Notamacropus eugenii: one gene and its partners. The protein of the gene in region 4 purifies or fractionates together with the protein of the main gene of each other region. This does not show direct contact. Links are inferred from orthologs where the notes say so. Each region holds a gene or a part of one and is shown on either strand. Other genes may lie near its edges. The genes, in order: HSPBP1, HIF1A, DNAJB6 and STUB1.

What was found.
Region 1: the proteins of STUB1 (region 4) and HSPBP1 purify together in Homo sapiens (affinity purification with western blotting; 4 studies listed by BioGRID and IntAct, with this or other methods). This does not show direct contact. The link is inferred for Notamacropus eugenii from reciprocal best matches to the Homo sapiens genes STUB1 and HSPBP1.
Region 2: the proteins of STUB1 (region 4) and HIF1A purify together in Homo sapiens (affinity purification with western blotting; 3 studies listed by BioGRID, with this or other methods). This does not show direct contact. The link is inferred for Notamacropus eugenii from reciprocal best matches to the Homo sapiens genes STUB1 and HIF1A.
Region 3: the proteins of STUB1 (region 4) and DNAJB6 purify together in Homo sapiens (affinity purification with mass spectrometry; 4 studies listed by BioGRID and IntAct, with this or other methods). This does not show direct contact. The link is inferred for Notamacropus eugenii from reciprocal best matches to the Homo sapiens genes STUB1 and DNAJB6.

The regions. Positions count from the first base shown.
Region 1 is NC_092876.1:17,904,335-17,911,879, forward strand, and holds the start of HSPBP1 (hsp70-binding protein 1), read right to left. Parts: upstream 3,106-7,545; 5' UTR 2,964-3,105; coding exon 2,922-2,963; exon of another isoform or gene 2,747-2,921; intron 2,079-2,746; coding exon 1,824-2,078; intron 1,700-1,823; coding exon 1,495-1,699; intron 338-1,494; coding exon 113-337; intron 1-112. UniProt on the Homo sapiens protein: Inhibits HSPA1A chaperone activity by changing the conformation of the ATP-binding domain of HSPA1A and interfering with ATP binding. Interferes with ubiquitination mediated by STUB1 and inhibits chaperone-assisted degradation of immature CFTR.
Region 2 is NC_092872.1:305,216,001-305,223,849, forward strand, and holds the start of HIF1A (hypoxia-inducible factor 1-alpha), read left to right. Parts: upstream 1-4,677; 5' UTR 4,678-4,850; coding exon 4,851-4,921; intron 4,922-7,849.
Region 3 is NC_092874.1:87,373,194-87,380,302, forward strand, and holds the start of DNAJB6 (dnaJ homolog subfamily B member 6), read right to left. Parts: upstream 3,102-7,109; 5' UTR 2,972-3,101; intron 1-2,971. UniProt on the Homo sapiens protein: Has a stimulatory effect on the ATPase activity of HSP70 in a dose-dependent and time-dependent manner and hence acts as a co-chaperone of HSP70. Plays an indispensable role in the organization of KRT8/KRT18 filaments.
Region 4 is NC_092872.1:53,702,617-53,709,989, forward strand, and holds the start of STUB1 (E3 ubiquitin-protein ligase CHIP), read right to left. Parts: upstream 3,003-7,373; 5' UTR 2,510-3,002; coding exon 2,324-2,509; intron 1-2,323. Other genes in the region: uncharacterized protein, read left to right, coding at 3,336-3,463, 4,129-4,222, 5,260-5,479, 5,949-6,101, 6,334-6,509. UniProt on the Homo sapiens protein: E3 ubiquitin-protein ligase which targets misfolded chaperone substrates towards proteasomal degradation.

The DNA of each region.
Region 1 (7,545 bases), on a different chromosome or scaffold from region 4:
AAGGCACCATGAGGGCACCAGGAGAATTAGGACTTTTCGGTCCTGCCTACACTCCCAAAGCCTTGGCCCCACCACATCCCCCACCCCAGGGTCTTAGGGGCCTCACACTCACAAGAGATGGCATAAAGGGCCTTCACTCGCACTGTGTCACAGGGGTCCCGGTCGAGCAGTCGAAGGAGCTTTCTTAGGGCACCGAGACCCAGCACCTGCTCCTGGATGGCTGCCACATTCTGGCTGCATGTACCAATAAGGTGGGCCGCCCGCCACCGCAAGCCCTCTGCCCCTGCCTCCAGATAGCGGCCCACTAGGAGGTGCATCCCGGACAGTTGGCAGAAATCTAGGCAGTCAAGAGAAAAGGAGAAAGTGGAGGGAGGTAAATACAAAGTCTGCTAAGGGAATGGTCAAAGTTTCTGTCCAGTCAGGGCTATGATCATGGGATTTCTAAATCCTTTCTTAGTTTTCTAGGCCTGGAATATGCTCCCTCCCCTTTACCCTTTTAAATTACAACTTCCAAGAGGGATCTTTACATGTTCAATAATGCAAAAGGTCTTGACAGAAATGATCTCATTTGATCCACTCTATCCCACCCTTCTATTCTTTAAAAATGAACTCTAAATGAGCCCTCCCTGCTCTCCCAGGTGGGTGACAAGCTGCTCCTCTGACTGGCCAGAGGCCACTGAGGCAGTTCTTGTGGATCACTGTAGACTCTAGTTTTTTCTTTCCCCTCATCATTGCTTAGATCTTGGTACTTAGATCTCATTCTTGCTTCCTAGGTACTTCTCCCATGAAGTGAACACTGTTTGTCTCACAGAGCCCAAGTCTTCTTAATAGAACTTAGCCTGGGAAAGACCTGGAGATCAGCCAGCTCGACTCACTCACAGAAAGGAGCTGGCTGACCCCAGGACAGATGCTGTCACCCAGCTGGAGAGCAGCAGGATGAGACCATCCCTTATTTGACAATATGGGTGTGGGGAGTAACAGGCCACAGAATGGCAGCGACTTCTGGGTCCTCAGGCATCACAGAGGGGTGAAACAAGGGCCAGAAAAAAGAAAAGATCTGCCCAGAGTCAGGGTAAAGCCCAATCCAGAACTCTCCCATTAACTTCTACTCACCACCTTAGATCAGTGAGTATTGACTACCAGGCACAGAAGGACACTTGCCACAGCCCTCACCTGCTCATGTTAGGGAAACTAACTCTCTGAGTGGAGAGAAACTAAAACCCAGACAAGAGACTTTGCAGCAAGGTCGCCAGGTTCACAAAACAAAATCTGAACCCAGGAACTCTGGCTGAGGCTCTTTCCACCTCAGTGTGCAGACAGAACTATGGCCCCCCTGAGAAAGTCAGTGTAAAGAGATCTAGGATCTGGTGAAAACTCTGATTCCACCTGCTATATGATGCTGAGACATACAGGTTCCTCTAATCTTTCTCTTCGGCTAGGTAGGGATGGCGTGGGAGAGGAACAAGGTAAGAAGGAAAGAGGCAAAGGGATTACCTGCAGCATTGTCCATATTCTCACACAGGTCAGCCAAGAGCTCCAGAGCTCCCTCCCGCTCCTGCTGGTCAGCTGCCAGCTCAGCCTCCCCAGCAGTGGGGGGTGTAGGTAGGCCCAGAGCATGAAGACAGCTTTTCATTTGTTCGACCTCCTCCCGTGGGCCTCGGAACGCTGCGGACATGGCCTCCTGCAGCCACTGACGCCGCTGGCGTGGTGGACAGGAGGAGGCAGGGGGGCTTGGTTATATTTGCCCTCCAGCCCCTGCCCACCCAAGGAAGCAAAAGTCCCCTCCCCATATCACCTCACAGAACCTGACATCCAGGTCTCACCTCTTCCGTCATGGGCTCGGGTGGGAGTTCAGGGTCACCAGGGCAAGCTGTCACTGCCATGTGCAACAGGCCTTGAAGGCTGTGGGGATGCGAGGGGTTCCCCATGGAAGCAGACGTACTAGCCTCCTCCGGGGCCGGAGGCAGGGCCAGGGGGAGGCGGTTCCCTCCAGAACCTGAGTCTGCCATCAAGGGTGATGGGGTAAGGGTGTGACTGGGGAGATGTCCTGAAGATAGCTGATCCGTGTTTTGGAAAATCTGGAAAAAATGGGGTAACAGGGAAACTGAGTGTGGAAGGGAGTGAGGGTGGCACAGGGCTGGGTTCCATGACTCCCCTGCTTTCCCTAATTCTGGGGCCTGCACCAGCCCCTACCTGTCTTTAAAAAAAGCAACACTTTCTCACTTTCATAGCAACCCACCCTCCCTCATCTGAGGGCAATGGACCCTTCCCCATCTCCCTGGTAACACCTCCCTTCTCAGGCTCCATGGCAACCTAACATTTCTTCTTCTTCTAAAGACCAACCTGCGTGCCTCCATCTCCACAGCAACCCATCCCTCTCCTGTATCCATGGCAACATATGCCCTCTCCTTCTAAAGACCAGCCCTTCCTTCCCTTCCCCCACTCCACGGCAATACATCCCTCATCCCTTTCCCCGTCTCCATGGCAACCGGCTTTCGGCATCCATTCCCTAACTTCTCGGTCAAAGCCTCCCATCTCCATGGCAACAGACCCCCTCCTCTTATCCTCGGCAGGCGGCTCGGACGCCTCCCTGTCTCCTTAGCAACAAGCGCCGCCTTCCATAGCAACAGGGCCTCTGCCCCCTCGCTCCAAAACCCTCGCCCTCCGGAAGCCCCGCAGCTCTCCACAACAGGCCTTGTCCCCTCGGCACTCCCCAGGGTCCGTGCCCGCGCCCTCCGGGCCTCACCTCCGCGGGCCTCAAGACCCACGCCGCCGCCCGCACCTGCCCGCAATGGGCGCCGCCATCTTTGCCGGAAATGCGTAAGCCTCACCTTTCACCTCAGCGCCCTGACTTCCGGCGGGGACATGACGGCGGCGAGGGGCGGGGCCGGGCGGAGGGGAGATTTGTTGGCTATTCTCACCTCTCCTGGGTTTCCCCGCACATGCCAGCCTCGCCCCTCCATGGGATCCAGGGCCCCCCCACCCCTTCTCCAAGCCTAAGTCTTGTCACCATCTGACCTATCTCTTCCCCCGCCCCTTCCGGACCGCCCTGCCCTCAGGGCCCGCCCTCTGCCTGACTCGGTCCAATCCCTCACCCTTTGGCCCGCCGCCTCACTGCGCAGTCTCACCGCTGTCGGCGTCGCTCCCGCTAGTGTTTCTGGGACTTGTAGTTCTCGCAGCTGCTTCCCTAGGCGTGGAGCGGGAAGAGGAGGGAAGGTGTTGCCGCCTCCGCCGCACAGACACAGCCACACGCACACACGCACACGAGCCCTTCTTCCACATAATCAGCTCAGGGGTGTACACCCTCCGGGGTCCCTTTGCCCGACGATGATCCTCTAGCCACTCTCCACCATCCAACACCCATTCAGCAAGCACGTGCTCTGCCCCTACTACGTGCCGGGCGCTGGATGTGGCCGCAGAAATGGAGGAAGGAGCCCTGCCCTGGGCTGGGCTGGGTGGAAGGGGGTCCGGGGAACCTCTCCCCGAGTCCATCAGGATAGCCAGGGTGGACCCAGGATGGCGGGAGGCAGGTGGTCCAGGGGAGGACCCCCCCTTCCCTGGTCCCCAAGCGTGCCCTCGAGGCTCTGAGTCTGGCTACTAAGTGTCAGGCACTGGGGGTGCCAAGAGACAGTCCCTGCCCTCAAGGGGCTGAAGTTGGGGGAACAGCAGGCAAACATATGCAGAATACATGGGGAATCGGAGAGACAAGGGGGAAGCCCTGGAATCAGAGGGATGTGGGAGCAACGGGGGACACAGCCGGAGAGAATGCCCAGAGCTCAGACATGGGGCACCACCCCGGGGGCTACTATCACTGGATGAAGAGCCTGCAGAGGGAGGAGGGGGCTGGGTTAGGAGGGCTTTGAAGGTCAAATAAAGGATTTTGTGCTTGATCCTGGAAGTGATAGGGAGCCTCTGGAGTACAGTAAGTAGGGAGGGGCAAGATCAGAGCTGCATTTTAGGAAAACCTCCGGTACGTCTTGGACCTAGATTTCTCCAATTCCTAGGTAAGCACCTCAAGATACTATGAGCATACAGGGAAAAGGACAGCCTTTATTTCACCCCACAGTTAGTCAACAAACATTTATTAGACTAGTGTCAGGCATTATGCTAAGTTCTGGAGATTCAAAAAGGGTCAAAAGACAGTCCCTTCCCATAAGAGGAGTTCACAATCTAATGGAGCAAATGAACAGGTACAAAGAAACTAGAAAGGATTAGTAGGAGATAATTAAGAGAGGGAAGGCAACAGAATTAAGGAGTTAGGAAAGGCTTTCTGTAGAAGATGGAGCCCATAAACAAAGAAGATTCATATCCTCCAACTGGAACATCACCTTCCCATCTCCAGGGGTCCTGATCAATATCTGGCCACAGGACCCAGATGACCTCAGAGGACAAAGTGAGGCTGATGACTTTGCACAGCCCTGCCTCACTTAAATCCAATTCACTTACATGTCATGGCATCACCTCCTGATGTCACGGTCCTCTTGGAGCACAAAGGACAAATGACAACAATGTTCCCACCCCATACACACAGTGGAATTGATAAGTTATTATTTTGACATTCTGATGTCGTTTTCCCATCTTTTTAATAGCACCACCCTGTGGTACAACATTTCTTGATAGACTGAGTGACTGGTTTAGACTTTTCCAGAAGATAACCACAATTTGGGAGATGATGAGCAAGCAGCCTCCTTGCTATCAGACTGACACTGACAGAATCAAATAAACACAAGTCAATAGTTATGAACCACCTACTATATGCCAGATAAGGATGTACCTGCTCTTTAGGAAAATCACTTTGGTGGTTGAATGGAGGATGGACTGGAGACTGGAGGCAGATAGACACACACACACTCCAGCAGTTAGTACAATAGTTCTGGTGTGAGGGCATGAGGGTCTGCACCAGGGTGGGAGCAGTGTCAGAGGAGAGAAGGGGCACTGCAGGAGAGATATTAGGGGGTAGACTATATGCGATGACCTAGAAAATAAAAGACTGAGAGGTAGTCAGATGAATAGGAGAACAAGGAGGGAGGGGGATCACAGAAGACCCAGAGAGGAAAGATTATCCAGGAGAAGTAGGAGGAGAAGGAGGAAGTCAGCAGTCTCAAATACTGCAGAGAGACAAGGACATACCTGGTCAGATATGGCCCGGTAAGAACGTGTTTGGGATGCTGTATACATCTCTGAGCTTCACATGTCAAGGACACCAATAAGATGGAGAACATTGACAGGAAAGCAATGAGAACGGTGAAGGGCTTTCTGTTGGAGATTTCTGGGAATATTCAGCCTAGAAAAAGAAGACTTTTGAGGGAACATGATGGTGACCTTCAAGTATGTGAAGTGTCATCAAAGAGAGGAGGGTTTGGTCCCAAAGGGCAGGACCTAGAGTGCCCAGTGGATGGGAGTTGCCAGGAGGCAGATGTGGTATTAATTGTAGGAAGCCAGTAAGAGCCAGGGTCTCCCCCCTCACTAGAGCTATGCAAGAAGGTGCTGATTGACCTTAAACTTGGAGGTCAGCAGAGAGTCAGGGCAGGATGGGTAGATCTGAGATCATCAGCATAAAGGTGGTCATTCAATCCATGGGAACATAAAGGTGCTCATTCAATCCATGAAGTGAAGCAGGTCCAGTCCCAAACCTTGAGGTTGATTAGAGGCATGACCTAGAGAAGGACCCATACAAAGAGATAGAGAAGGAGTGGTCAGAGAGGAAGGAGAGAGTGACCCACAGCACCTAAGGCTAGAGAGAGGACCAGGAGGAGGAGAGAGAAAAGGCCATTGGGTCTGGCCACTGGAAGATCATGCCATGTCAGTGGAATGATGAGGTCAGAGGTCAGTTTGTAAGGGGTTAAGAAGGAAGTAAGAGGAGAGCAAGTTCAGATATGTGGTATGGTATGCTCAGCTACAAAGAGCAGGAGCATCATAGGACCATGGTTAGCAGAGATGAAAGGGTCAAGCAAGGGAGGTGGGATGAATGAGCCAGTAGAAAGGGAGAGACTGAGGAAAAAGGGGCAAGTGAGGATGACCTGTTGGAGGGTAGGAGATGGATGGGATCCCCTGAGCAGGTAGATGGACTGGCCTCAGTCAGAAGTCAGGCCACCTCCTCTGTCAGGGAGAAGGGAGGAGAGAGGGGCATAAAGCATCAGAGTGATAAGGAACAAAAAGGAGAAGAAGCTCACAGCGAATGGGCTCAATTTTTTCTGTAAAAAAGTTTTCTGTCCTTTATTCTATGTGTGTGTGTGTGTGTGTGTGAGTGTGTGTATGTGTGTGTCTGTCATCTCTGTCTGTCTGATTCTATCTCTGTCTGTATCTCTGTCTCTCTGTGTGTCTCTATCTGTCTTTCTGTCTCTGTGTCTCTCTGTGTCTATCTTTCTGTCTCTCTCTGTGTCTGTCTCTGTCTCTCTGTGTCTGTCTCTGTGTCTGTCTTTCTGTCTCCGTGTCTCTCTGTCTCTGTCTCTCTGTCTCTCTCTGTGTCGTCTGTCTATCTGTCTCTATGTGTCTCTGTCTCTTTCTGCCTCTGTCTTTGTATGTGCATGTGTATGTGTCTCTCTCAAATCTGGCTCTTCTCTCCACTCACACCACAAGTACTCTCATTCAGTCCCACAGCCTGTGTCATCTTTACAGTAACTTCTCAATGGGTCTCCTTCCTTTTTTTGTCCATCTGCCACAGGGCTGCCAAAGTGATATTCCTGAAGCACTTGTTTGCCCATATTCATCCCCTACTCAAGAATCTATAATAGCTCCCTATCGCCTGTTAGGCAACCAGATAGCACAATGGATAGAGCTCTGGACCTAAAGTCAGCAAGATCCGAATTCAAATCAGACCTCACACTGGTTGTATGACCTTAGCCAAGTCACTTAACTCTGTTTGTCTCAGTAATCACATCTATAAAACAGGCATGACAATAGTAGCACCTACCTCCCAGGGATGTTGTGAAGGTCAAATGAGATAATATCTGCAAAGCACTTAGCACAGTGCCTGGCACATAGTAGTCACTGAAGAAATACTTTCCTTTCCTCCAGGATAAAATACAAGCTCTTCTGTCTGGCATGATAAGCCCTTTAGCAATCTAGCTCTAGGCCGCTTTTCCAGACTGACTATAAATTACTCTTCATAAAGAGCTATTATGTGGCCCAGCTATATGCCCATAAATTTGACAATCTAAATAAGATGGATGAATATTTTAAAAAATATAAATTACCTAGATTAACAGAAGAGGAAGTTGAATACTTAAATAACCCCATCTCAGAAAAAGAAATTGAACAAACCATCAATGAGCTCCCCAGGAAAAAAATCTCCAGTGCTGGATGGATTTACAAGTGAATTCTATCAAATGTTTAAAGGACAATTAATTCCAATACTATAGAGACTATTTGGGAAAACTGGTGAAGAAGGTGTCCTACCAAATTCTTTTTATGGTACAAATATGGTTCTGATACCTAAACCAGGAAGAGCCAAGACAGAGAAAGAAAATTAAAGACCAATTTCTCTAATGAATATAGATGCAAAAATTTTAAATAAGACACTAGCAAAAAGAATAAAGCAACTTA
Region 2 (7,849 bases), about 250 Mb from region 4:
CCATTCTAATAATATGTAATGATTAATATTTAGTAATGATAAATATATCACTTATTATAGTTAGATCATGATGGGAAATAAGCAGCAGTGTTAAATATTGTGGAGGTTTTTTTCTCTTATTTCCCATGCTTTCTTGCCTCCTTCCTAGAAATGGAAAAACTCATAGAGTTTGGGGTTTTGAAAATGTTCCAAATAATTTAGGTTTTGACAAAGCCTCAAAATACCTCCCTTTCAGTTTTTCCGACTGGAAGGTATTTGAGGGGAAATTTCATTAAAGATCATTACTTCAGTAACTTACATACAGTAAGTATTCATTAAATGTTTTGTTGAATTTGGATTGAATTATTTAATTAAATTGAAATCTGAGCTACACTAAGGAAGAAAAAACCATGGTACAAAATTAAACCTTTGGTTTTGTATGAATTGGTGACAATTTGTCATTGAAGAAGTATGAGCTATTTCTCTAATGAACATCATTTAGAATTCAGAAAAGTGCTGCTATATCAAGTCCACTCATATTCCACAGTCTGACTAATATATTTATTTCCCATACAGATCCTTTCTATTTTCATACTTTGCTTCAAATTTCACACTTCAATTCTATGCATTATTATATAGTCATTTTTTGTTGTTGAGAAAAACAAAACCTGGAAGCAATATTATGCCAGTTATTGCTTATTGGTCATGGTAGCTTCTTAAATATTGTAACAATTTGTAATAAGATGAATTTCACAAGGTTCTTTTTTTTTTTTTTAAAGGAGTTAGATGCTTCTTATCTTCTGGTAACAATATAGACTTCAGGTTTTACCTTGTTTACTTCTGAGTCACCACCCAACCTTTATTACTATAAAAGTTATGGGCTAAATAGTCATTTATAAGTAATCCCAAAGTTTACTTAGGAACTATTGCTAATGTGAGTTGAGTGAAACTTGGATACTTAAAAAAGCTAGGAAAAGTGGTTAGCTGAGACCTATGCTTCTGAAGTAGTGATCCAGTTTAATAGAGTTATATGTGATTGAGGAAAAATAATTCTATAATTCATCGCAGGGAGTGTGTCTTCTTGGTAGCTTTTAAATTACTTTTTAGATATCTCTTCCAATGAAAAACTGAATTTTGAGGCACTTTTAGGACTTTCAAAGTTTTACCTCCTGTTGATTGAATTGCTAGAAGGTTTGTGATTTAGTTTTAGGTAAAAAATAAAAAGCCACTGTTGATGGTTCTTAAGAATGACGTCAATTTGCTATTATAACAATGGTTTTATTTTGAAATGGTTTGATCACACGTAAATGTATGTATAGTCAGTCACTGGCTACAGAGGATGAACAATAAGTATCCAAAAGCAACCACATTGTAATCACTCTAGGTTACTGAATTGGCTAATTTTATTAGAGCCCCCAGTTATCATTAGCTAAGGAACAAATGACTGATTTAAATAAACTAAGAGGAATGTATATCAGTGTGTAAAATTACCAGTATTGTCCTCTTGCCATTTTGCAAGATGTACACTATCTAGTTTTTAGACACCTCCTTATAGCTATATGATTGTACAAAAATAAGAGATAGTAGCTTTGTAAAAAAAAAAATCCAGTCTTTATTAATTTTCAACCTCTCATTACTCTAATTAAATTATTAAAGTAGACATATCCCATATATACATACATATATGTATACGTATATATTGGTTAACTGATCACAGTTACATGTTTTTTTCATTTAGACTCTTATTTTTATGTATCCTTGAGGGTGAGACATTGTAACTTCCATATTTGCATATCCCACCCCCATTGTTGAAATAATACACTGAAGGGTGACAAAAACATCACATAAATTAAGGATGCACATTCAGAACATGTTTATTGATTTAAGGAGGGAAAAGGGTACCTGTGACAGATGAAAAAGAATAGGACTGAAACATGATTTCAAAGTAAAAAGAGATCACAAAATGTCAGAACTGGATAGGCCCTTACAGGATTCTGTATTCCAACATGTTGGCCGATAAGGAAACTGAAGCTGAAACAGAGGCAAGTGGCTACTAATGTAGGAGTAGGACACAGTTCTTCCAGTCCAATTTTCTTTCCATCACATTGATGAGGTATGTTTTCTACCTTTTTTTTTAACCATTAAAGCACCATAATTAATATACTAAGTAGCATCCATGATACATTAGCAAAGGAGAATTAGTGACTAAGGCAATGTTATGTTGATTTTTGGTTTAGTGGAACTATGCCGGTTCCATGGGAGGGCACATAAAAAGTGCTTAAGAATGCTTTTGGGTTGAACGATTAGAGTAAGACTTTATAGCTTTCCGGCTTCTATGTGAATCGAACTGTAAACAATTAAACCTGAAACCAGAGGGAAAGAGGGTGGGGGAATCTTGCCCAATCTCATAACTCAACTAAGATTCTCCCTTAATGGAGGCATGAAACAAACCAAAAAATAAATATTTTTACGGTACCAAACAACCATAGTTAATTCTTCCTTCTTGCAACATTCAAGTTCCTTATCATTTTCCCTGTGTTAAAGTAGAATGAAAACTTACATAAAGCAGTTTTTACATACATAAAAAGTAAGAATATCTTGTCCATTCTTAGTGCAACTTTCTACTGTTTTCTTTTGCGATTTTGCCTAAAGTTTTTGTTTGTTTGTTTTTGCCTTTATATTGTAACGAAAACCTAGATCCTAACATTTGGGGTTAAGGAGACAATTCCACCGTATTCCATGCCAAGTATAGGGTACTAGTACTAGCATTTTGTGGATTAGCAAAAGGGACTAAGCCTATAGCTGAAGGAAACCGTAATAATGCATTAAAAAACAACAGGGTAAATAGCCCTCAGTCGTGGGACATTACAAGGCTGCTTTTCAGGAAGGGTGCGTGGAGAAAGGGACAAGAAGCCACACGATACAGGATGGAGGAATGTTGCCCCTGAAAATGCAACGTCGGCCTAGTACCCGACGCCTGAGATCCTTTTCAGCAGCCCGGGCTAGCGAAATCCCGCCCCTAGCAGCTAGGAAAAAGAAAAGACAACGGCCGGCGAGGCTGGGTCCCGCAGCCACCCCAGGTCTTTTTCTCCCTCCTCTTCCCACCAGTCCCCCAGCTGCATCACAAGCCAAGCAGGACATCTCAGCTGTGCCTCCAGCTGACCACCAGCCGATTGGCCTAGGACGGCGAGGGCTGGGGTGGGGATAGGCCGGCTCGGGAGCTTCCCATTGGTGCTTGGGGAACCGGCCTCCCCCTCAGGTGAGGCGGGTATGCGCCTGCGCGTTCCTCGGGATTCCCCCCGCCCCCTTTTTCCTTCCTTCTTTTTACTCTTCCCCCCACCCACTCCTCCTTACTGGCGCGCGCGCGCGCTCGCGGCTTTGCTCCCTGCCCACTCTCCCCCCCCCCTCAGCCTCCGGTCCTCCCTCAGCCTCCGCCTCCCGAGCCCTCAGAGCTGCCTCTGTGGAAAGAGGAGGGAAGCCGAGAATCGGCGCTGCTGCGCGCCGGGCCAGGCCGCGCTGACAGAAACCGGAGACAGAGAGAGCTAGACTCGAACCCCTAGGATTGTCCGGACTCTCCCGTCCTCCGGAACGTTCTGGGTTCCTTTTTCCTGGAGGGAGGTGGTGGTGGTGGGGCCGGGGACCGCGTGTGTCCTTCCCCTTTTTAACCGCCGCCTCGGGATCGCCTCTCTACCCTCTCCATCCCCCTTCGTTCTCTCCCCCCTGTGCCTCGTGTGTGAGAAGCCGGAGCTTAAACCGGAGCGGACCGGGCCGAGGAAGCGCCTGGTGGCGGGGGCGCTTAGCCATGGAGGGCGCCGAGGGTGCGAACGACAAGAAAAAGTAAGTAAAGGGGGATCTCGCCGCCTGGCGCCCCTAAAGCCCACCACGCGCCGCCGGGTGGGGGGGGGGCGGAGGCGGGGAAGGAGAGATGTAGATGGAGGAGTGCAGGGGGGAGGGGGCCGCTTCTATTCATTTCTCCCTACCCCCCCTTCCTCACTCGGCCTCCCCCCCTTACTGTCCACGTCGCCATCTTGGTGTGGGGGGTTGGAGAGCCATTGAAAGTGGGAGTCCGGGACGACTTCGCCCCTGGTCCCCTCCCCCGGCAGCCACCGCGCGGGCGCGCGCGCACTTCCCTCCTCCCGATCGCCCCCTCCCCTTGCGACCCCAGCCTGGAAATCCAGCCTTGGAAAATCAAGCTGCTTTGGCTCCCTCCGGGTCAGCACGCTCTGCCCCCGGACGAGGCTCCCTCCCTCCCTCCTTCCTCCGTTTACTCTCCCTCGATTCTATTGAAAACCCCTCCGGGGGAGGGGAGCTGCAGTTTGACCCGGCTGAGCCCTGTAATTCCCTCCCGGGCCTCAGGTTCTGCACCCCGTGGTAATGTGGTGTCCGTGTTCTGTGATTGTGTCCTGCCGGGCCGTGAGTCAGGCAGCGAATTGCGATCGTGTTGTTGTTCAATCTGGAGGCCCCCTCCCCAAGCGATCAATTCTCTTCTCAGCTTTGTGTTTTGTCAGATTGGGGGTGCTCGGCTGGCACTTATGAAGCGCGACGTGCCAAGGGAAGAGTGAGACGCTAGCGGCATTTACGGAGAACACCCAAAATTGTCCTTTTGTATTGGTAGCCAGTGCCAAGGGAGAGTCTAGGTGTAGCAGATAGATTTGACTTCCTGAAGTACGTTAAGGGAGATTGAGTGGATAGGTAAACGTCCGAAGTGACCAAAGCGCGACGCAAATACAGCAGAAGCTGGCAAGGTCTGAGAATTGTTGGCTTTGCCCATTTTCTGGCCCGGCTCTCGTTGTGTTAAAATCTTTAAGAAAATGTCAGAAGGAAGTAGCTGTTTTCATGGAACTTCTTTAAAGGTGTAGGTAGGAAACATTATGAACTTTAAGAAGAGTCAAAGAGTTTTAAAATACACATATTTAAGGCCTTGGAATGATTTTGAACCCAGGTACGTTAACTCCAAAATGTAATTTCCTAGTTGAAGAAATTTTGTCTTGTGTCGTGTGTGGATTCTAGAAGGAAACTTTGTAAAACATTGAAATTATGTTGGTGTTCCGTTTTGGTAAACTGGTCTTTATTTAATGATTAGCCCTTCCAGTCTCTATCTGAAAACGATATGTTTGTTTCATATTATCATGTTTTTTGGAAATGTTATCTTGGCCCATTTGAAGTAGAAACTTTTGAGGAAGGTAAATAAGGTGTAGATAAAATTATTTAACATTTTTACAGTGTAAAAAAGTTAATTAAAAAGTTAGTTTCCTTCTCTGTAAAATGAGGGGACTGGACTAGGTAGCTTCTAACGTTCCTGTCCAGCTCTAATCTAGGTCTATGACCCTATGAGAAATTAACACAGAGGCTGTTATAGAAGTTAGCAGGAATGAATTGCTATTAATTTCATAGAAATAATTATAAAGCTTTTGCCCGAATTGGATTGTACATCTCAGCTTAGAGAATAACTTGATATTCTGATTGTAATTTACATTAATTTTGTACGTGAAGGTGCATTAAGCAAAGTTACACACTTCCCCTTTGCAAGTAATAGTATACTCCATTACACTTTTGTTCCAACAACCAGTATTAATATTATGACATCATGAATGGTATATGGGTCCACTCATTTGAACTGGGATTCTTATGACTGTTAATGACTTTTTTTTGCCTTTGTGTCCTCCATCCCTAGAAAAGTGACTTCCATATATTAGGGACTAAAAAAAATATTGTTGAATGTAGAAGTTTCTTTTTGAAAGCTAGTAATTTTTGCATATTGAGGTACTTGAGCAAGAACCATTCTGTATTTGTATTGCAAGTTAAATGAAGAATCCAGTCATATAAAATATAACTATGCATGGGACGTTATTGCTACTCCCTCAGTCTGGGTTTTGTGCTACTCTTTTTTAACATTCTTAGCATAGCTTGGTCTAATAGACTTGGAGAAGATCTTAAGAAGTCAACTTGTTTAGTCCTCTCTCTTAGGCAGATTACCACATCCAGACTTTCTAAAGTACATGTCCAGTGTCATAAATATCTTTGTGGATAGGAAGTCCATAATGTTCTAGAACAAGTTTTCTTAATCTGGACTCCCTTGGTTCTGTGCATACATTTCAGTGGGTCTGTAAACTTTCATAGGAGGAAATCATTTATTTTCAGTAACCATTGTTTTCCTCTGTAAAGTATGCATTTTATTTCATGAATTTAAAAATATTCTGAGAAAGGGTTCATAAAGTTCGTCTGCTAAAGGGATCCATGGCACACCTTTGTTGCTTCTCATAAGTCAAGATTCTTAATGTTTCTTGAAATAAAATGCTTTATTGCTGCATTTTAAACCTGTTTCTTCTTGTCCTTCATTAGAAATGGAAAGTTTTAGTATAGTTTTATATACTTCAGTTTGCTGTCACCCCTAAGAGTTTGCTATAGTTTCAACTTTTTTAACTTCCTTAAAGGTCCTTATGAATGCTTTTATTCTCTGAATTTGATACAGCATCATCACCTGAAAAATATGAAATTCAAAACAAGACTCAGAACCCTAAAAAGAACTTACCAAGTATGTAATGGAACAGAATTGATGCTTTTTCTATTTTTCTACTAATAATGCATTCTTGAATTGTTAGTTTTTTAACAGTAGTATGGTATACACTAGGGTTTAGTTTGTTTCTCTCAGACTGGGTCTTTTTCTTCCAATAGTTGGCTTTTTGGTCCATCAGCAATGCATTTATTAAGCCTCACCATGTTCCAGCTATTATGCTAAGTGCTGAGGATACAAAGACAAAAGTGAAATAGCCCCTGCCCTTGAAGAGCTTACCTTTTTATAAAGAAGACAACAAACACATTTTTAAAAGTATTTGTATAATATATACAAAATGCATACAAAGTAGTTTGGGAGGAAAATTCACTAGTTAATAGCAAAATACCTGACATTTGTACCAGAATAAATAAAAATATCATAGAATCTGGATTCAAATCCCAGCCTTGGGCAAGTCACTTAACCTTTTAAAATATTTTAATTTCACCAAAGTTATGGAATAGACGAAATATAAAGCAATCTTTGCTAAATATAGTCATTTCTCTCCACACACAAAATGGTGTGCTTAGCAGTTGAATCAAATTAAATTGGTTGACTCATTCAGTAACAATAAACCTCCCAATTTTTTACATCTTTAAAAAAATTAGTGCAACATATTATTTTTCTTTAGTCATTTACTTGTTTTACAGGACCTGGAATTGAGTTCATAAGATTTTGACACATATTCTTTAAATTTTCATCATGGAAGTGCACTTAACATACTAGATATATTAAGCATAACTTTGATAAACAGATAGCCTATAGAGTTTCATTGAAATTTAAGTTAGACAAGTTTCAGGGCCACTGACACATACATATTTCCATCTCTTGGACAGATTTCTTAATCTTTTGTGACATGGTGCACTATTGTGTTGTAGTGTTTGTTCATCTCCATTTGAGAATTTCTGTAATCCTAGAATAATTCAGTTTAACAACATATATCAAGAGGCTCATCATTATCTTCTCTTTGTAAGTAAAAAACCTCAAACATTTTTTGAGTGCATGTTTTACAGTATGATGAAGATGCCCAGATCTTCCAGGTACATTTGGATTTGTCTTGGTATAGACTTGAATGAAAATTTGAGTTTCATCAGTAAAAATTACCTTTTCCCATTTTTTAGTACTCTTGTCTTTATATTGCCTTACACATGACAGTTCCTTTAGTAATGGTTAATAGCTAATTTTTACTAGTCTTTTACTTCTAACTTTAGAAAGCTTAGACAGCACTTAAGAGAAATCAACAACTTAGCCTGCCAGGTCCTTCTGAACATATTTTGTAAGGATTAATGAGACTTTCACAGCAATAATATCTAATAG
Region 3 (7,109 bases), on a different chromosome or scaffold from region 4:
TAAAGGGGCCAAGGTCTTCTAGTGTATCCTGGGTCATCTCCAGTTCATCCAGAGGAATATCAGGTCACTGGATTCAGATGGCTCTGGAAAAGTGAGGCTGGTGACCTGCATAGCCCTCCCTCACTCAAAATAAAGTCAAGTGCAAGTCATGTCATCATTTCTCTGATGTCATGGTCTTCAGTAAGGAAAGACAGACACAACAACAACCCAGGGCTACACCAGAGAGCAAAATTTGTACCTCCTGGAAAGGTTTCTTTCTGGGCCTGAATAGGTGAAGGACTGCCACTCAAAAGAAGTTTAGAAAGGCACAGAGAATTCACAGGTTACTTTTTTGCAGGTACATCAATTCTTTAAATCAGAAATTCTTAACTTGGTTTGGGAAAGTGTCAAACTATTGGGGGGGATTTGCTTGATGATTTTTGTTTTCTGTTTTGCATTTTGGCAACTGTTATTTTGATATAATATATGCATTTAAAAACATTCTAGTAAGAGGTCCTCCACAGTTTCACCAGATAGCCAGAAAGATCCACGACACAAGAGATTAAGAATCCCTACGTTAAACTGTCCATTAAAGCAATGAAAAGATTGAATTAGTGTATGTGTAAAGTATATCTAAACCCATGAAACTGAGATTTTTGAGGCATTTAAAAAGAATGAGATGTTTGATGTTTCATAAAATATATTCAGTAAAAAGTTTTAGAGCCAAGACCTAGTTTAGAGCTAAGACCTCAATTCTTTACAGATAAAGAAACAGAAGCATATAAGTTATTTATCAAGGTCACAAGTGGTTGAATAGGACTTGATACATCCCAACCATCAGTCTAATGCGTTCTATATTACACTATTTCCTGTTGCTTAAAAAGGTACATATATGTAACACTCCCTAGAGCCCACTTTTCCTAAATCATTTGGGGGGGGAGGGAGACATATTATGGGAGTCAGTATCAAAAAGTGAACAGAAAATTGGTTTTGTAAGTAGGAAGATCTGGATGTAAACCCTAACTGGCATACTTATGTGACTCCAGACAAATTATTTACCCTCACGTCCCAAGCAACTCTTTGAGAACCTAAATTACAGAGGTAGCAACTTCTACTATCAAATAGTGCTGATAAGCACTGGCAGAATTTCCTCCTTGAACGAATTTCCTAAACTCAATCAAACATCTTTGACATACTAACGTGTTACTTTTCCAGGTTTTAATCATCTCAGTAGCTACTACTGGAATGGCATCCATCTTTCTCCTTGGATCATTCTGACCTCCAGAGCAAAAAAACAGCTTGCAAGCCCACTTCTTTCAGGTGTAAAACTATGATGATAACCACTGAGAGGAGGTGAGGGTAGGCCAATTCAAAATCTCGATTAAACACTTAATTACTTACAAAGTCACTTTTTTGTTCATTCTTGTCACCCTCACACTCCTTTTTTGCTCTTATGTAAGCAAAATTCTCCCTTTAGTACCTACACTTTACAGTGAGCAGGCAGTCAAGCTGAATTTTCTCTCCTAACTTCAAATCTGAGCAAGTGTCTAAAGCCACATCAGAATTAAGGGAAATATATTACATTTTACTTATTTCCCAAATTTTGTTTGCTGTTTCTATCCAATGTTAATACCTTTTGGAGATTCATTTATTTGACTTGCTGATTCTATAAAAGGTAAACAACTAGAAACCGTACTTTCATAAGTACAGTCGGAGTGAACAAATTTGATAGTGGTTTAAGATTTCTCTTCTTTTATACTTTCTTAAAAACTGATTACCACTACTTTACCAGGAATTATACAACCTGAACTGCACTGCCAAATCGGTTGTTTTTCTAAGGTAAAACCGAACTACAAGTTACTTTTATACCACTGAGAAGGAGATGTTTACTTTTCAGTTTTATAATTCGATGGATCTGAAGTCAGGCCTATCTGCCTGAGTTTCCTCATCAAACAGCACCTATCTCCCAAGGTTGTGTCAAGGATAAAATGAGCTAATACTAATAAAGGGCTAGTAAACTGTGAAGTACCAAACAAATTCTACTAGCGGCTATTATCTCCCCTGCCTCTCTTACCTTATTTCCTCCAACTCCTGCCTTTATTCTAATAAAAAGTTTACCCAAAAAAAAGGTTTGAAAGAGGGGCAGCGGTCCCACCTGCGCCCCCAAAGTCTGCGGGGCCTCTCCGCTCGCCTCCCCGCCACCCTCGCAGACTCCAGCCCGACCTTCCGCAGCGAACGCTCAGATTCCGTCTCCGCAGCGTCGGACCCCCTCACCGCCCACAACAGGCTCCTCCACCTCCGGCGCCCTCTCTCTATCTCCAGGGCAGGGACGCGGTGTTTGCCTTTCTTGGTAAGCGCACCCCTGGCACCGGGCCTAGTACACAGTAGGCCGTCCATAAATGCTGAGTGAACGAGAAAAATGCCCGAGGGCACCCAAACGTCGTGCCCATCTCGGTCAGGCGCTCACATTCTCATCTAACCAACTGCATTTTGGGGGAGAAGGGGCCTAATTTTGGTCACGCGATGACAGGAAGAGAGGTACTGCACTAGCTAGGGACACTGAAGAAATCCCTCCGCCTTCCCCCGCAGACCAACGAGAGCCCCCCCAAGGACCCCCGACCATCCGGGGGCTTTCAGCCTCTTCCCCATCCAGTCCGAGGGCGGGTGGGGGCCGAGCTGAGAATCCTCGGCGAGGCCCCGAGCGCCCGGACGCGTCCTCCACCCCCTCCCCCAACGGCCCGGGCCGCAGAGCCGGATGCCCGGCGGCGGCGGGCAAGGACACCCGAGCCGGCGGTCGGGGCTGGGAGCAGACACTCCGAGTCCCCGCCCCGCGCAGGCAGGCAGGCCGCAAGGCCCCGGGAGCCGGCGCGCTGGGCGGGTCAGCAACACCGCCGTTGCTAAGGCGCCGGGGACAAGTCCGGCCAGCCCCGCCGCGGCTCAGCCCAGGACCTCTCCTCCCTGAGCCCCGGGCCCTGACAGGGGTCTTCCTTACCCGAAGAGGGTTGACAGCTGGCGGCGGGGAGGAGGGGCTGGGCGGCGAAGCCCGCGGTCTCCTCTCGGCTCCGGCGCTGCTGGTGGTGCTGGTGGTGCTGGTGGTGGCGGCGGCGACTCCTCGCGCTTTCCTTTCTCTCCGTTTCTCCAACAACAAACAGGAAGTGCGTCAGACGTCGGAGCTACGCGGCGACGCTCCACTTCCCTTCCACCATTAAACTCAGTGAGCTGGAGGCGGCGACCGCGGCGGTGGGGGCGGCTGCCGCGTCTGCCCGAGCCCTGCGCCTCCTACGCCCCGCCCCTACGCCACCTTCCCGAAAATTCTCCGCTCGCTCGGCAGACGCTCAGGCCGCCTGCGGCCGTTGGCGCCATCTGTCGGCCGCCGAGTGAACGACGGTGGGGGAAACTCCGCCGCCCCCGCCTTGGGCCCACCCGCCTAGTGGCGGCCCTCCCCTCCCCCCCTTGAAATCCACGTACGCTCCGGCGCCCTCTGGGACGTCAAAGGGCTGAGGCCGCCGCCCCTCCCCCCAGCGACCGTTGGGGCTGATGAGGCACCTAGAGGGGTCCGGCCTTCGGGGAAAGGTATCACTGCCCTCGTGGAGCTTACGATCCAGGGACCAGGAGAGGACTCTTCCTCAACCCGCCTGTCTCCCTCCCCATGCGCCTCCCCGCTTCAGATCCGGCGGATCCGGGCCCCCCGACATCTGAGCAAGGCCGGCCATGGTAGGGGACCCCCGGACTCCTTCCTCGCCGCGTGGCCCCCCCTGGGTCCTCCGGGACTGGGGCAAGCTGCTTCCGTGGTGCTTGCCTCAGTTTCCTCATCTGTAAAACCCTCCCAGGGCGGTCGTGAGGATGAAATGAGATGATGACGTAGGGCAGCACGGTGCTTGGCACGTGGAAGCGCCCGCGAAGGCCTAGCTCTCCTTAATATCCTTCTTTTCGGGTCTGCCCAGCCCGCCCTAGTCTCCAACAGAAAATCACACTGGGCCCTACGACAGCCTCACGCACAGGATGACCTTGCGGTCTTGTTACCGAGCTGGCCATTCTTATTGTTCAGGAGCAAGTTCTTTTCCCCTTAACCTTTTTTTCCCACTCCATCCCACCGAGTATTTTTTTTAAACTGGAGAGCAGAGCCTCCGGAGCCGGGGCCTGTTTCAGCATTTTAAATTGATCCCCTTTTTATCGGGATGGGCCGACCTGTTCATCTTCTGGGACTTGGGATTTGTCACGCTTCAGCTGACGAAGGTCCTCCCCGTTACCTCTGGAGTTAGGCCTTTCACCATCTAAGCTGGCACATTCATATGTACCCCAGTCCCTTCAGCCATACCCAGTAGGAAGACACCTCCTTGTCTCACAATTTTGAACTAAAATGAAGCGAATTACTATAAATATTTTTGCACACACTGATCCTTTTTTCTCTGATTTCTTAGAGGGTAGTGATGTAGCTAGGGCAAAGGATATAGAGAGTTTGGTAACTTTCTGAACAACAGAATTATTTCTAGAATGGCTGGGCCAATTGGCAGGTTCACCATCAGTGAGTGTATTTTCCCAGAGGTCTTCTGATATTTGTCATTTTCTGATTTTGTCATCCTTGCCATTGTGGAAAGTATGAGTGGAATCTCAGAGTAGCTTTCATTTGTATTCTCTATTAGTGATTTAGAGCATTTTTTCATGTAATTGTCGATAGCTTGGATGTCTTCCTTTAAAAACTGCCTGTTCGTATGCTTTGCCCATTTATTTTCTGAGGAATGCCTTAGATTGTTTCTCTTCTTTTAAAAAAGACTGATTGTCTCTATGTTGTCCATGCTAAAAGTACAGAGACTCTTCCTGGGCTGATTCCACTGCTCATAGACGCAGAAGCTTTGACCTCCATTTTGAACTTGGACTTGTTCACTCCTCCTTGGGCAACTTGGTAGCTCCCTGCTCCTGAAGATGAACCATATTCATGTCAAACCTACTTCTGATGCTGTGTTCACTTAGCTCACTCTCACTCAGAACCCCCCAAATCGAGATCTTGTACCAGATATTAAGCTATTTACTCTTACCTCTCAGCAACCAATAAGGGGACTGCCTTACTATCTACAAGCACTGAACACTTCATCCCTGCGTCAAATGTATATGTTTAACCCAATGGAGAATCTCTGCTCATGCTCTGTACAAGTATCTGTACACATGTATACATATCTTTATACACAGTTCAGTGGTATTAATAAATAAGACCTTGTTAAGACCTTTGTGTAGTAGAAATTTATTCCCTCTCCCCTACGGAATCTGGGTTAGCATTTCACATGCAGAATCCCAAGGCCATGGCCTTGCTACTTGGAAGAAGAACCCAAGGCCATTTTTCTGGTATTTGCCAGATAATTTAAGGAAAAATTCCTTGGAAGGTTCATACCCACATCACTTGGCATGCGTCTTATAAAAAAATGTGCATTATCCTCTTTTGCTAAAACCATACAAAGTCTCCCCCACTTTTCTCAATAATAACTTCATAGATAGGTTTCCATCTGGGCTTAGATGACCTTATAGCACAGAAAAGACCCTCCACATGCCCTTTATTAGCAAACCTTGAGTTTATCAGGGAAACATTCCAGTTGCATACTCTCATCCCCCTCAGTCATTTTCTGTGCTCAAAGATCCCAAGGCATAGCTTTGTATATGAAGATAACAAGTAACCTCTTGCTACCAACCAATAACCAACCTCAAAACTCCCCTATAGGAGGAACATCTATATAACACATCAGAAATGTGTGGAAGTCTAGGAAGACATCTTCAGAACAGCTACACCACCCCAATTCAGATATGATTCAGAGGACCACAGCATCCCAATTCCATCTCCAGTTCTCCCAAGGCTTCTGGGGACTATACAAATATCCTTTCATAATTTTTAAACACATCTTTTCCTTTGGACCTTTTCCTTTCCTCTACTAGTATAGATGAGTTGCCATATGAGTTGATGAAAAATATAGGGTCTAAACAAAGAGCGCTCAAACACAGTGAGTGGCCCTAATTTACTAAGGCCATATAGAACTGGGTTTATGACATCTAACTTGCAACTACAATTGAAAGACAACTTAATTAGTAATATCAAGTTTTTAGATTGAACTGTAGAACTCCATACAGTAAAATTCCATAGGAATTCCTGGAAAGACAGTATGATGATGACAGCAATGATGGCCTGTTTGATTTCCCTCAGATCTTATGTTCAATACCAAAGGACATTAAAATACAGTTTAAAAAAATAAAAATGAACCACTAACTTAGAAAGAGTGGCTTCCCTTGCTGGAGGACACAGAAGTGCCATAGCTTCAATTACTGTTCCAAGAAAAGAATTGCTGTCAATACCTTGAGTCAATTCAGCACAAATCTGACAATGTTATTCCTCAGGTCTACTAAAGCCCTTCCAAATCTAGCTCCAGTCTACCTGTCTGGGCTGGTTGCCCATACTTTTCATTCCAGCTAAACTGGCCTATTTATTGTTGTCTACACAGGCCTTTCCCTTTCCAACTCCAAGCCTTTGCACAAACTGCCCTTCAGGCCTGGAATGCACTACTCAACACCAGTTCTTCAGAATTTCTACTTTCCTTCAAGGTTCAGCCCAAGGCCTTTCCAGAGTTCCCTCCCCCACCATTGCTCATGTTTATTTTGTAAATGTTACTTCCAGGTACCATAGTGAGGAGTAAAATTGGCAGATTAGTACACCTTTCTCCTCCTCCTCCTTCCTTTCTTAGGGGAAAGTTACATAAGAGAAACCTCTCAGATCCTAGGTATCTCCTCCCACTGTGACAGCTAGAAAAAAACAGGACTTTCCCTTCTTTGCATCTTCCTCAGGTAAAAGGCAGAAACTTTTTGCCTGAAGCAAAAAGGAACTCAACCTTTTTTGTGTCTAGGGCCTCTGGCACTAAGGTGAAGCCCATGAATCTCCTCTTTACTCCTCAGAATGTTTTTTGGTCTAAATTCACAATCAAAGGGAATGCTAAATTTCAGTTGGGGATAATGAAAATATAGATGTATTTTTTTTTCCTATCCAAGTTCACAGACTCCCCTAAAATCTATGCTTGTGGTCTCTGTACCTCCAGTTAAAAACCACTGCCGTAAGGGGCTGGAGACCAACCCTATTCTCAGGATTGGAGACTTTT
Region 4 (7,373 bases):
CACTGTAACTACTGATCGATTATTGCTACAAACAGGCAAGAGCCCAAGCTGTCACTGCTGGAACAAAGTCACAAGAACTAGACTGAGAAAAAGGAGTCTGACCGGTGTGACTGTGTGTGAGCCTTGTGATACTGGAGGTGGTGAGGGGAAGCCTAGTGTCTTCAGAGGCCGTGTCCTATCACTGTTCTCTGCTCCACCATCCTTCCACGGTCAGCTCAGAAACATCTTCCCTTGATATATGGAAGAGCACAACGGGATGGAACCCCTAAAGTCCCATAGCCCTGCCTTGTTCTGTCCTGCCCAGTTGTCTGCAGGACAAATACAATGGAAAGGAGACACTGTCCTAGGTGCAGGGGATGTAAAACTCAGTGCCTGCCTAGCTCATTCCCCCTCTGAGACCCTTTCTTCCATCTCAGTCTTTGATATCAAGCAAGAGGAAAACCTTTGGCTTGACTTGTTTTACAGGAAAGGAGATTTGGTTCCTAGAGCTCACCACAGGAAAAAAAAGGCTATCCCTGAGCTGTCACCTCAGGGGCTCCATCCTCCAAACCATCTACAGAGTCACCTGAGCAGGTATCCGGAGAAAACCATCCTTAGTCCTGGTTAGGTTTTTTTTAGATCTGGGTGATATCTGGCAGTCTGTTCTCAAGTGAGGTCTCTACCCTTCTCAGCTTTTCAGGGACCTAGGTTGGTGAATGGGTCCCTTCCTAAACTCAAGTTCACCTATGAGTCAACTGAGCCATAAGCCATAGGCATGAAGCCACCTCCACAGTCCTGAAAAGCACGCTCAGGAAGCCAGGCAGGTGACAAATACAAGGTGCTACATTAAGATAAATAAATAGAGATAAACAGAAAGCCTCATCAGCTAAGCAGCTAAATAGCCTGAGTCACCAAATGTTCTACCTCACACATTCTTCCTCTTGGAATTTAGAATCAGGAAGGACTTTAAGAGGTAATTTTACATTCCTTCATTTACACTCCATACACTGAGTCCCACAACAGAGAAGGGATTTTTAGATGAAGAAACTGTGTCCCAGAGAAGTGACATGACTTGCTCAAGATCATACAAATAGTAAGAAACAAAGCTGACTTATGAACTCAGGACTTTCTCCTCCTGATTCCACACTCCCTCCAACATGCCCTGATGCCCCAACTAAGCCATCCAGCTATCAGACATTTAGGAGTCATTCCTTTGCTGAAGGAGCTTCAGAGACCAGCCTTTCATTGGTCCCGAGACCACTAGGCTACTCTTCCTTTAACCCCAAACACACAGAACTCTGGGATTCTTTTTTTCTCCCTAGACTATCCTCTCTAGATTCCTCCTCCCATTTTGTCTTTTCAGATCCTCCTTTCCCCCCCTTCTTTAACACCCTCATTCCTTATTTTCTCCTTCCCTCCTCGGATACTATCCACTGTTCCGGGCACGGAAACCAGAAAGCCTCTAACTCTACAAGGGAAAGGGAAGCAGCCAGCCGGTCCCTAGAAACTGTTAAGACATAGCCCCTTTCTCCAACCCTTTATCATTATGTGACCCAACATGGCACATTCTCAAAACAAACTGGTTCAGAATCCCCAAGGAAAGGCACTTTGCTCCGATATTTATTCTTCCATAGCCCCTAGAACAAAGCTCTGCAATTCAACAAATGATTTTTTAGTTTTTCCAGTAAATAAGATACTGTTGTAAAAAGTAATTGCACCAGTACAAGTACCTATCACTTTAAAATGTTCCTAGAAGGAAAGACCAATAAAAATGGGTTCCTCTGCCTAATCCAGAACGTTACATTTGTAATTACATTTAAGGAAAGGTTCGTGTTAACTCAGAAAAAAAATTCACTCGCGCCACTCTCATCTCAGCACCTTCGGGTGGCACTCCTTGGCATTCTGGAACAAGACTTCCAAGCTCTGCATTCAGCAAAGACAGTCTATCTCAAGCCCCAGAAATGAATTACTGGCTTTGTAAGGCTCGGCCCTGACCCCTGCCCAGCTGCAGACCACAGAGAAGCGGGGCTTAGGTTCCCTCTGATGAATGACCGCACACACGACACTCCCCCGCGCCCGGCCGGCCTGAGCTCGGCTCTGCAAGGACAGAAGCGCCTTTCCCTCTGCCGCGGCTCCCCGCCCCGATCCTGGGCCGCCGCGGCTCCCAGCCCCGATCCTGGGCCCCGAGACCCTCACCTGGGACAAAGGCATCCCGGGCCATTTCTTTGTGAGAGGCTTCGGAACTCGGCGGGGACCCTGGGAGCGCAGGCCACCCCCTCCCCCCGAGCTCGCGCTCCCCTTCTGGCCCGCGCCCCTTCCCCGGCCCCCGGTCCTCCGCACTCACGATGGCTTTGCTGTAACAGGCCGCGGCCTCGGGGTACTTGCGGCCCACAAAGAGCCGGTTCCCCTGCTCCTTCAGCTCCTGGGCGCTGGGGCTCTTCTCGGGGCTGCCCGCGCCGCCGCCCCCTGAGCCCAGGCGGGCGCCGCCGCCGCCGCCGCCCCCGCCCTCCTTCTCTTCTTTCCCCTTCATGGCTCCGGCCCGGCCCCGGCCTCGGCCTCTACCCCGGCCCGGCCCCGTGATCCGGTCACGGCCCCCGGCCCCGGGGGTGCGCAATACTCAGGTATGACCCCGCCCTGGCCCGGGCGCTGCCCACAGAGAGCGCCCGCGGCTCGGCTCGGACCCCCGAGCTCCGGTCCCAAAAAGCCCCGAATTCTTCCCTGCGGAGACCCAGCGCCGTCACCCAACCGGAAGTTCCGGCCGGGAAAGCAAGGAGGCCGGGAGAGCAGGGGGGTGGGGCCGGAAGAGAAGGGATGAGCCTGTGGAGAAGGACGCCGGAAAAGCGAGGAGATGGGGCGGGGGAAAGGCCGAGCCCACGAGGGGGCGGGACCAGCGGGAGACGGCGCACCGAAAGAAAGAGGTGGGGCTAGGCCCGAAGCCAGCTGGGTCCATCAGCACGTAAGAGCAACACTGGAGGGCTTGGGCCTCGCACCTCGGCCGAGCTCGGCAGGAAAGGCGGGGACCCGAGACGAGGCGGACGCACGGCTTTTATGCTTTCGGGGTGGAGGGCGGGGCCGAGGCGGAGCGCGCTTGGGAAAGAGGCGGGGCTGGGAGCGAGAGCCCGCCTCTAAAGGAGTGGGATTGGTCGGGGGCAAATAGGAGGGTGGAGAGAAGGCTCGCCGGCGCAGAGCGTGTCTGCGCGTGCGCGGGCGGAGGCGGCGGGCTTGCGTGGGGAAGGGAGGGCCGGTTTCCCTTCTCTCCTATCTCTTCCCACCCGAGTTAGGGTCCTGGAAGGCTGGTCGCGGTTCGGAGAGGCCCCCAGTCCTCAGGAGGTGCCCGGCTTCCTGGGGCTGGGGCCATGGGCCCGAGCGGGGGCCTGTATGGCTGTGACGACCCCCGGTGCTGGGCGGCAGTGCTGGGCTGCTACAAGGAGGTGGTCAGAGCCAAAGCGGGCAAGGCCCGCAAGCTTGCGGCTTTGGACGCGTGGTGAGCCCGCCTCCTCCAGAGCCCGCACCTCGGCCCCACTTCCGCAGGGGTCTGGAGCGGGGTGGGCAGAGGGAGGGGAGCAGCGCCCCGCGGCGGGCCCTAGCAGGGGGAGACTGCCCTGTGCCCAGCACCGCGCCCGCACACAGGAGGCGCGCGATAGACGAGACTGACCCGCACGGGGTGGGGGAGCCGGGGCCACACGTGGAAGGACTCATGGGTGGGTGTTGGGGTGCTCGTGTGACGGACAGCCGCACGTAGTGGGCCTCCCAGTCGGGACCGCTCAAGGCCAGGGAGAGTGGGGGTAAGAGCTGCCTTCACAAGCCTTCCCCCCGGGTTCTTGGTGGATGGCCAGACAGGGTCCGAGGCCCGGCTGCCTCTCTTCTCTTCTCCCTGAGAACCTGGACCCTAGGAAAATCTATTTCCCTTGTTCAAAGAGGCCCTGGTATCTGAGGGGCATCGGGCTAGTCCCTAAAGGGTCCAGGACACAGGAACCCCATCCGTGTGCGGGACTGTCTGGCACCTTGCCCTAAGGCAGCTTAGTTCCCCCCCCCCCCTTCCAGATCCCAGGGTAGACTTTGGGGAGTGCTGTCCCCATGGAACAGTGACCTGCCCTGACCCTTCCCTGTCACCACTACATACATGTAGTATGTGGATGCCCGTTTCAGGTATCAGGAGGAGCTGCCAGTTTCCATAAGGGAGAGAAAGGAGAAATACCTAACTCGAGATGAATTGGTGAAGCTGATGGAATGGAAGCTGGCGGTAAGCTCCCCATCTGAATAAGGTGGTGTCTGTAGGGATGGACATAGATCCAGGCCCAACAGGGAAGGCACAAAAGAAATTCTCAGGCCCATTCGGAGGGGTGACCTCACATAGCCCTTCCTTCAGACTCTAAACCTGTCCCTGTCCTCATCTCCCAAAACTGCTCCTTCCCTCTCCCCAAATTAAGTGATCTTGTATTTATTTTATGTCTATCTCTTCTGTTCTCTCTCTCTCCATCTCCTTACGTGTATGTATACATGAGTATGTGTGTGTATATACACACATACACACGTATGTTTTCTCCCTCAAGGAAATGTAAGCTCCTTGAAGGCGGTAACTTTCCGTTGTCTTTGTACCCACAGTGCCTCAAAAATAGCAGGCACTTAATAAATGCCCATTGATTGATTGATATCCAGTGAGTGATGGATAGGTAGGTGACTGTATCCTTAACTCTCCTTCCTAGGTTCTAGAATGTGCGAAATGGAATACCAGTGTTAGAGGGATCTTGGAGATTATGGTCCAACCCCTTCACTTCACAGAGGCAGAAACAAGCCCAGCAAAGGGGAAGTGACTTATCCAAACTCACATACTGAGTTAGTGCCAGATTTATAACTAGGTTTCAAGTCTTCTAATTCCCACCCTAATGAAGTCAAACCCCAGCCAAAAGTTCTGTTTAGTTTTTGGACTTAAAGTTTATAAAACCTTCTCTGTTCACATCCCCATCTTTGTAAGACATAGGATTTCTTCTTCAAGTTGGGGTAAAGGCTGCAATTGACAGGAATTGTATTGATAGGAATAGTATTTCCATTGAAAGAAGACTCAGGGTTCTAAGGAGAAGAGATTGGAGTGTGTTAATTGGCCTAGAACCTGCAGTCAGAAGATCTGGTCATAAATCTCAGTTCTGCCACTTATTAGCTGTGTGACAACCTCCCAGGACATCCGGATTGTGAGGCTGAACAGAGGGTCACTAAGAATTCAATTGTATATTCTCACCCTGTTCTTACCCTCCTGCCCTGTCCTTCCCCATACATGCTTAGAGGGGCAAGTTCAGACCACGACTGCAGCATTTGGTGGCCACTAACCCGGAAGAGATGGTGAAGCGGTGCACCACAGCAGCCTTCTCTCTATTGCCCAATGTGGAAGCTGCCATCACAGAGCTGAGCCAGCTGAAGGCCGTGGGACCAGCTACTGCCTCTGGTGAGGGAAGAGGAGGAGGAGAGGAGCCAAGGGTGGATCCCAGCAGACCGGTGACACTTGGTAACCTCTGGACCAAGACTGAGCCCAGGCTCTGCTGGTCCCTCAGGGGATGTTCTGAGGTGGAGAGGGAAACCTGGGTGTGTTATCTCCAACATCCTAAGGTCTGACTCTTCAACTCAGTGGGTGGAAAAGTATGTGTGACCTGAAATGACTGATGCTGATAGAGTGCAAGACACTCATTCCTTCCTTGGCTCTTCTGGAGGTTTGGGAGTATCCCCTCCCTCACCTGCTGCCTTGAAACACTAGTACTAGGCCATTTTCATCAGTCCAGTTCAACATTTTTCTAACCAATGGCCAAATCTGACCTCGTGCTAAGAGAGGACAAATCAGCCCCAGCAGAAGTGGTAACTTAGGGGTTCAGGGGAACTTGCTTAAGACGAGGTGACATTCAGGCCTTAGGTTCCATGGAATGTATGGATGGTCCTGGAGGATCCCCTGCCTTCCCATAACCCAGCTATACTTCTTTCAGCAATTTTGGCTGCAGGTGCCCCAGAGACAATAGCATTCATGGCAGATGAGGCAGTGGCTGCAGTCCCTGACCTTCCTGTGCTCCAGTATACTCTCAAACATTATATTTTGTATCTGGACAAGATCTGGGCCTGTGCTAAGAGACTGAACCAAGGTAAGGGTTAACTGCTGGAGGGATGTGTGTATCACAGTAGTCTCAGTCTCTGACAGACTGCCTAGATATCTCTGATGCCAGAAGGGTTTGTGGAATGATTAGGTGTAAATGTAGTGGGTAAAGGAGCTTCAGGCCTCTGGGCGGGGTAGGCCTCTAGCAGGAAGGCTCAGTTGCTTTGGGTAGGTCCAGAGTTGCATGTTCATTTTCCTTCCTCCTTGGGCTTTTCTCATAGTTGATCCTTTATCAGAATGGACTCCTCACCAGATAGAAATGTGCCTCTGGACCTGGACTGTGGCCCAAAAACTGTGTCCCACAGTCCTGCCCTCCTTTTCTTGGATGGCCCCCAAAGCCAGGGAAGATGCTGAAGATGTCAGACCTTCCAAGAAACGAAAAGCTAGTATTCACTGATCTGTATACACTATCTGTATACACTCCACCCAAGAGAAATGCATCAAGTCACAGTAACCTGCAGCCAGGCTCCTATCTACTGATATCCATGGAGGCCTCAGGGCCGAGGGTAGCCACTGTCATCCATTAAAATTGCCTTCCATCCCAACCTCATCTGGACCTCACTTCCTTAGATACCCTCCCAGGCTAGCACTGAGCTGGGAGTTAGGAAGATGGAGTGGATAGCTCCAATCCCATCACTAAGTTACCCTTGGGGAAGTCACTTAAACTGTCTTTGCAGTTCTAGTCACTTCTCCCTTTGCGTTCAATTCCTCCAAGGCTCAGGTATGTCCAGTCCTGTCTTCTCTTGTCCTATATGTGGTGTAGGGGGATGCCCCACCCCCCTTAGAGAGTTTAATAGTGTTAACTAAATAGAGCAGTGATTCTCACAGAACTAGGTGTGTGTGGAAATCAGAAGGAACTTAGTTTTCCAGAGTAGAAACACCTCCCACTGGAGCTTTCCTGAATTCAGAAACTAGAGAAGGCTGTAGGTGCTTAAAAGCTGGTAGGGCCCAGCTTCAGCCTCATGGGATTTCAGGGAATGAATGGGGTGGGGGTGGGGGGCCCAGTGGCTCAGCAGCTCTCAGCTAACTGCTCTGGCAGGAGGTGTAAACGGCTTCCTAATTGCCTTCACACATGAGCCTAAATTCGGAGGTGTGAGGAGGGAAAATCTTAACAGGCCTGAGAAGTTGTTCTGGGAAAGACCAGAAGCTAGAAATAGCAGGAGGAGATCCCAGGGGAATCTTCCTTGGCCTCCATCCCAACAGCAGGGCCTCTGGAGGAGGGGAAGAAGGCAGAGGAGGGGGGTCACTTGAGCACTGTCTG